2 linked regions of the Lepisosteus oculatus genome follow. The protein of the gene in region 1 interacts with the protein of each later gene in a pairwise test. Links are inferred from orthologs where the notes say so. Each region holds a gene or a part of one and is shown on either strand. Other genes may lie near its edges.

Region 1 (3,750 bases):
GGTCTGGCTGCTGTGACGACTATGAAGAGGGCAACTGAGGATCTGGATGTCTTCAGTGACTGTTGTGCTTTTGGTACCAAGCCTAACCTGAAAAGCATAAGCCTTAGAACCTCCAATATTGTTGTATTTAACACTTATAAATTATTTTAAGTCAAACAACACAGTCCTAGGAGGTTAGAAATTGCTACAGTCGACTTTTTACTGGGGCTGTTCGAGCTAAGAAGAAGTTCTCAATAAAACTGAAACAGTGAAAGATTGAAAACAAAAACACCACAATCCACCTCGATAACACCACAGGGATAAGAACGATTTCAACACAACTTAATGTGAGATTGATCTCAACTGAGAAACGCGTCTACAAGTTTTTAGTTAATCACCTCCCCAGTGATATTAATACGTCTATGATAATATTACGTCGTTTTACTGGCCAGATTGTATGTTAGTCGATGACACTAGGCTCCGGTATAAATACTCTTCGTTTCTTACTTACCTGCAAAACAACCTCGACATCGTACGAATTCCCTTTGCTCTTCTGGTGTCCGCGGAACTTGGAGCCGCTGTACAGGAGCGAGGTGGCGACACCCGGCTGCTGCGTGTTGATTGGGGGAGGCGGGATAAGCGAGGCCGAGGCTATAAAGGCCGCACAGGCGGTACTGCAGCACTCGGTCCGGACCGGCATGTTTATCACGTCTGAAGGTCGCCCCAGCTATGGCCGACGTACGCCACAGAGACGGTAACAAAAAGGGGACAGGGGGAGAACTGTCGAGGCGGCTCACCGACTCACGAATTCTCCCCAGCCGCCGAGAGATGCGCTACCAGGGTCCCAGCAAACAGTAGGGACCTCAACGCAGCACCACGCAGCAACATCCCGCCAGCCTATTGGCCAGGGGAGCGCACCTGGCAAAGAAACCGCCGCTCATTGGATGGCCTTCTGAAATGCATTTTGGGACTTGTAGGTCTTCTAGCCCCGATCTGTAGTTTTTCCTCCGTTCTCCCGCAGTCGAACTCCACCTCCCATAACCCACCTCAGTGACCTTCGGACTGTTTCCGCCCCGTTCCTCAGGTTTCCCAGCGGCCATTGGAGAGCGTGTCCGAGGAGCAGTGACGCGCTTGAGGTCACTGACATGGCGGCGCCCATGCGGTTGAGCAGGTTATGACTGACCCTGGGAATGCGATTCTTTAAAGGGGAACACGTCCAAAAACACCATTAAAATATATGTGTATTGATTGCCGGGTAACTAGGATTCGATAATGCAGTGTGATAATGCATAATTTAATCAAGTGTCATAAGTCCCTATGACATGCTTTAATGCTTTGGTTACCCTGCAAAAGCGCATGAAATCGATTTGAGGTCGTGATTCCCGAAATAAGAAGAATCTGTCAGAGAGATGTTGCGGGGTCTGGCCCGGTTGTGCAGGAGAGGCGGCACCGCTGTCCAGTCACCGTGCGGCTGTGTCGCTGCAAGCTCGCCGGCATACTCTACTGCGACCCCGGGTAAGAGCCGGGTTCTGCCCGGCGTGTGGGAACTCGTGTCGCTTTGTTAGTCAATCGCTGATTCCGATGTAATTGCACAACAAGCTGGATGCCCGTAATGCGGCAAATGTATTCTTGTGTTCCGTTCTTACACAACCATGGTGACGTCTCTAGGTTAGATCATGAAAATACATTCTCTCTGTTTTTAATTGCCCGGTTCAATCAGATATTCGTATTTGCTTGTATCCACAGGGAGGAAGAAGTTCTACCAGGACGTCAGTATTTCACAAGGACAAGGTGCGGTATGAAACACATCCTGTTTTTTTCCTGAGGTAGACTGTAACAGATAACAGTTTTGTTTTAATATTGTGTCTCCTTTTTGTATTTATGACGATTCAATAAAAACTAAAAAAGAAAGAAAGAAACGACAGCAAGCCGTTTGGCTGATCTTGCCCGTCTCCAGCAGAGCTGTATTTGTCTTGTATTTTGTATTGTTCTGCAAGTGGATAAGTGTGTGAAACAGTGTCTCAGTGCTCCGCTGTGGTGAGGAATGTGCAGACGAGGTCCGGATCGGCTCAGGCTGAGTGATGTGCCGTGCTGTTCAGCGCCCGGTCTCCTGCGCCTGCAGGTGGGCTGTTTGAGATAAACCTGGACCGCGGGAAGCTGAAGACCCCGGGAGGGAAGTTGTTCACAGTGCCCAGCGAAGTCTTGGCAGTTGCCGTGGCGACGGAGTGGGATTCCCAGAAGGACACTCTCAAGTTCTACACGATGCACCTGGTAGGAACCTCAGCTCGCAGCGGGCAGCGTGTGGGGCCTGTGTCCTGAGAGTCCTGTCCAGGGTGTATCCCCCACTGTGGCCACTGCCTGCCGGGATTTGCGTATTAACCTCTGGAGTCAGAAAACCATCAGCCACTTGTGTACTCATTTAGTTTCCACTGGGTTCTTTTGTATGATCGGAAGCCAAAGAAATCCCCGAAAGGAACCATTCTGGTTTATTCCAAAGGGAATAAACTCTTAATTCTAATTAGGACAATATTCCAGCATTCAGGAACCCGAATCTCTGGAAGTTTCTCTTGAGATGTTGAAGGGCTGAGGTAACAGGCCCCGCTCTGTCTCTCCCAGACCACACTGTGCAACACGGCTCTGGACAACCCCACTCAGAGGAACAAGGAGCAGGTGATCACAGCCGCGCTCAAGTTCCTGGAGACCGACACCGTCTGGTGAGTCGGGAGTGGCCGAGCTGCGCACTTTCCCTGGCACTCGGCACCATGGGGTGGGCACAGGCTGTGCCAGTCAAAAGGCAGGCTTGGGGTGGAAGAAATTTATCTGAGCCTGTAATTAGGGTCCCTTTCCTCTTCCCTTGAAACCACTCTTTTGCCAGCTGTCTGTGTTCATGGTCATTTCCGTTGTTTTGCTTTACTGTGTCAAGGGAGCAATCTGGCGCAGACTTCAGACTCTTACTTTGCTGCCTAGTGTTTGTGTTCAGATCCCTGTGACAGGGGCTGGCTCCTGAGCTGCGGGTGATGGTTGTTTCACTGGTTTCTTTCTGCCTCCGGGCAGCTATAGGGTGGAGGAGCCCCCAGGGCTGGTGGAGCTGCAGAACAACGAGTGGGACCCCGTACTGGACTGGATTGAAAAGAGGCAAGTCTAGAAAGAGCTGCAGAGCTCAGGAGTGAAGAACATTAGAGCATACAGTGCAGGGTCAGGGCAGGTTTGTAACTAGTTTTAGAATAGAAATAAACATAACTAGATTTTGATGAGGCAACCGTGGATTTGTTTTAATTGCATAACAGATACAGCAGCGGTCTTTAACCCAGCTTCTGGAGAACTACATTGTTTTCTAGCTTTGATAGCATTCCAGAATTCTCCTACAGGAATTTATCATTTGCTAATGATTAGCCAATCATTTTGACACCTTTTAAACTAGAATACAGCAGGACTTCACAGGACGGTGGTTGTATTCTGAAAACTGTCCATCAATTAGCTGTGTCACTGACACCTTTCATATGTGTATGTGTGCTGTCCTGACACCTGATTACCACCACAGACCTGAGCTCGTTACTGATTGTTTTCCTCACAGGTATAATGTTGTGATCGGCTCCTCCTCCAGCATTATGGGCCCTTTGATCCCTAAGGAGACGAAGGCCACTTTCCGACAGCACCTGGCCTCCTACAACTTTTGGGCTCTGATAGGTACGGCTGGGAGCGCTGCCACAGTCTGTCTGTGTAAAACCAGTCACCGCTGAAAACACCCAACATCTGTCGGTCGAATTACAT
Region 2 (3,750 bases), on another chromosome or scaffold:
TTTCCTGTACCAATTTTCCTGGATGCAAGAGGCATCCATCAGCCCACATTAACTGTGAATTAGGCGTGGCGGTTGAGGTTGCTGTGATCAGGCCTGTCTTACACTGACAGCTATTTTTGCTGACAGTAAAATGGTGATTGGTATTGCTGAATAACACAGTTGGAATTTCCTGCGACCTCACAGAGAAGTTTAGGAAGACTGTGTGAACATCTATTAAACATTTTTATCTATCACCATTACATGTTTTACTCCAGCCCCTTTTAGAAAGACAGCACATACAGTATAAGCATTTAAAGTTTAAGTGTCTTTATTTTTAATTTACTCTTATGTGGTTTCAATATTTAAATGGAAATGAAAATAACTTTCCACATGTTTATGCAGACTTAAACTAGCATTAAACAATAACACATACTGGAACAGAATGGGTGATGTTTTTCTAATTTTTGCTGTGCAAGTAGAGACTTTTACAGAACCAGATGTAAACTCTGTTCTATTTTGCACCTCATCCTGATGTCATATCTCAAATGAAAATTTTAGGAAGGGATTTGTAAAACAGAACCACAAATAAATTTATAATCGGTACAATAAAATTACAGCTTAGACAAGTGATTTTTTCTTCTAGCTACCAATCAAAATTCTTACACTTTGGTCCTCAATTTCCATTATGCTAGCCCACAACAAAACATTCAGCGGTATTACTTCTAAGCCTGATACATAAGTTTAGTTATTTAAAAGATAACACTGCTCCCAGTGAAGATAGTGCTCATCATCAGTAGTGTTTCTTTTTAGCAACAAAATCATTATTGTGATTTGGCAATCATTACAAACAACAGGCATTCAAAGCAGATAACAACGTATTTCCCATTAAAACGAACTAACCTGCAGATTAAAAGGTTTTGTTTACTATTAAAAGTAATTGCAATGAGGAATACTGCATTTCCTTTGTTATAGGAAACCTCATTAAATATTTTAGAGCTCATAATACATTTGTATTACCGTTACTCAAAATGCTTTGCTGTTTTAAAGCAGATCCAACATTTCTGTGGTACTATTTTTGTGAAGGATGAAAACCATGGTGCCACTTTATTGATCTGTGTAAACAGATTTGTTCCAACGCAAAAAAGTTTATTTGCTTATTAGGACAAAATGGTTGTAAATAAAGCCCTTTATTTAATATATGGCTGTCAAATATTTTTTTAAATTATTTAAATACATGCCCTCATAACTTTTCCAACTTGGTCAAGTCATAATCCCAAAGCTTGACAAGAAGGTTTTAGTGGACGGCCATATAATGTTATTTACCCTAAAAGTGCAACAACCAGAATGCCAATAATATTTATTTACAATATTCCACACCACATTTTCACTTTCGACTTCGGCAATATCAAATAGCCGGTGTCACCCAAAGATTTGTGAACAATTCCGTCATTAGAGCTTGCAAGTTACCATTTGCCAGCTTTTCGGAATTTAATGTAATCATTTTAATTGGAAAGAATGAAAATCCAGGAAGTGATCCTTTTTCATCACTATCCTAACCCCACCGGCTCAAAAACAAGGCGCGACAAATCGGCTGTAAAGTGATTTTTTAAAGACGGCAGTCGTACACCTGGGTTTCGGAGTGACATCTAGGAGCATTTGTGCAGTTTCCCATTTCAATCAAGAAAACAGCGTTTCTCAAAATATTTTATTTAGAGTTTCTTAAATCCAAAGCACTTACCTTTAACAGTGTTCAACGGAAGAATGCCGATATACCAGAAACACAGTGTCCAGGGAGAGAAAAGTGGCTCAGAATAGGAAGAAGGCCAGACCCTTTTTTGCAGTTATAATTTCACCTCCGTTTCCAGTGTGACAGCGCAAACTGACACCGCCGCTTATTCGTCCACCTTAACATAAGAAATCCCGATTCTCTTTCACCCAGGATTCCCTTGGCATTAATTTAGGACAGGGTTGTTTTAATTATTATTATTTTTTCCAGCCGTCTCTTTATATTCTTTTCTTCCTCAGAGAGCTGCCGCTAGAAGAAGCGTCTTTCTCCTGCTACTCGAGTCCCCTTCCCCAAACGGCTCCGGCTCCCTGTCTCTTCCTCGCTCGCCAGCTTCTCGGGGTGACCCGATGACGCCGCAATGCCCGGATGTGTGCGGCTAGGGTGGAGGCGGACGCTGATGATTTCATTTAAGATAGAACGATAGTGTCACGCGTTCATAGGGTGTAGTGTCATGGACAAAGAAGAAGCGAAAACATATCGATATCTACTGTATAAACACAATGTGCATATTCTGAGTTTTTGCGGATGTAGGGAGAGTTACAACATATTGCTTTATTTGAACTGAACTGCTAATATAATCGTTGTTTGCCTTATTTACAAGTTATCAAATACAGTTAACTCCTTACAACCTCAAAATGTGCTTGAAAACGTGTTTAATCAGACATGATAAATGTAAAAACCGGAAAAATCTTTTACGATAACCTTCATTACTACTGCCCAATGGGTCTCCGATCTACTGTGAACTGTTATCTCGTTTTTTCTTTCTCTTCTACTCGGAAACAACAAGCACCTTAGAAATGAAAGTACAGTATATGTACATGAAACCACTGATACATTTAAACAGCTTAAAAGATGTTGTCATTAAATACTATTTCAACTCTTTTTCTGTTGCTTAACAAAAAGTAGTTTTTTATAGCAGACAGACGTATTATAAATAAATTCACACATAATAAAATCCAGTACGGTAGAAAGAATCAGTTATTATAAATTATGTTAGTCCATACTTTATAGTTAAAAGTTTAAAGTCTGTGGATTTAGGAAAAGGTAAGTCTTTAGAAATTGTATAGGTGAGTCAGTACTTAAGAATATCTGTAAGGTAATAAAAGATCATAGCCTAGAGTTATCTGAAATTCCTATTATTAGATAAACCTAGTATCCTTTGACACACCCTTCAATCTGGAGAAAAAATGAATTTTTATAACCTTTCTACAAAATTAATGCGAGTCTTACTTCTTTCACAGAGAAACAACGACCTCTACTGGGGAAATACATCTGTATCTGCAACTTTTTAGATTTTTTATGGATATCTCTCTTAATTACACAAAGGATGTTAAGATACTAAAAGAATGAGGATATCCAGTTCATCAATTGGTGTCCTGTTCGCTTGAGTTAAAATAAAAGTATAAAGTCTAGTGGTTATTTAATCTAGCTCACTCCCTTACTTTCAGAAGTTAAGCATTGGAACAGCTTAGTCAACTATTGTGATGTTGAGGTTGAGCGTATTTAGACAGTTAGTGATAGGAAGGAGGCAAGCAAGCTGTTATTCTGGCTCTGAGAAAGCTTTTATTGCCTTTTTTATTTACAGTGGGTGTGCTATCCACAGGGGTTAGGCAAACCAGGTTGAAGATGAGAAGAAGAGAGAGATATGCTGATCCTCAACAGTTCCAGGTGAGAAAAGAGCAAGCAGGGGTCTCTCAGTCCTTTTAAAGGGGTAAAGGGCAGGAAAGAGGGAGCCAGATGAGAAAGGGCAAGGAATGAGCAGATCGACAGACTCCCCCCTTCCCCACCAGGTCCCTTGTCCTCAGGAGAGACTTGGTAGTCTCACAATTGGATTGGTCTCTGTCTCTGTCTGCTCCTCAGGGAATGGCATGATCTGGGTCACGGAGACTGGGACGGTGTAGTCAGGAACACTGCGAACGAGGAAGACTCCTGGATCTTATTGGACTTTGGTAAACCATCAGGATCCGGGAGTCCTTTCCATCAGA

The links. The genes of interacting proteins can lie anywhere in the genome.
Region 2: the proteins of atpaf2 (region 1) and lrrfip2 interact in binary tests that used the Homo sapiens proteins (3 or more experiments, as listed by UniProt). The two-hybrid records come from large-scale screens. The link is inferred for Lepisosteus oculatus from reciprocal best matches to the Homo sapiens genes ATPAF2 and LRRFIP2.

The regions. Positions count from the first base shown.
Region 1 is NC_090714.1:17,606,822-17,610,571, reverse strand, and holds the start of atpaf2 (ATP synthase mitochondrial F1 complex assembly factor 2), read left to right. Parts: upstream 1-1,152; 5' UTR 1,153-1,388; coding exon 1,389-1,494; intron 1,495-1,725; coding exon 1,726-1,770; intron 1,771-2,101; coding exon 2,102-2,250; intron 2,251-2,595; coding exon 2,596-2,693; intron 2,694-3,033; coding exon 3,034-3,114; intron 3,115-3,553; coding exon 3,554-3,666; intron 3,667-3,750. Other genes in the region: gid4 (glucose-induced degradation protein 4 homolog), read right to left, coding at 491-679. UniProt on the Homo sapiens protein: Plays a role in the assembly of the F1 component of the mitochondrial ATP synthase (ATPase).
Region 2 is NC_090705.1:25,398,341-25,402,090, reverse strand, and holds the start of lrrfip2 (leucine-rich repeat flightless-interacting protein 2), read right to left. Parts: upstream 2,140-3,750; 5' UTR 1,718-2,139; intron 1-1,717. UniProt on the Homo sapiens protein: May function as activator of the canonical Wnt signaling pathway, in association with DVL3, upstream of CTNNB1/beta-catenin.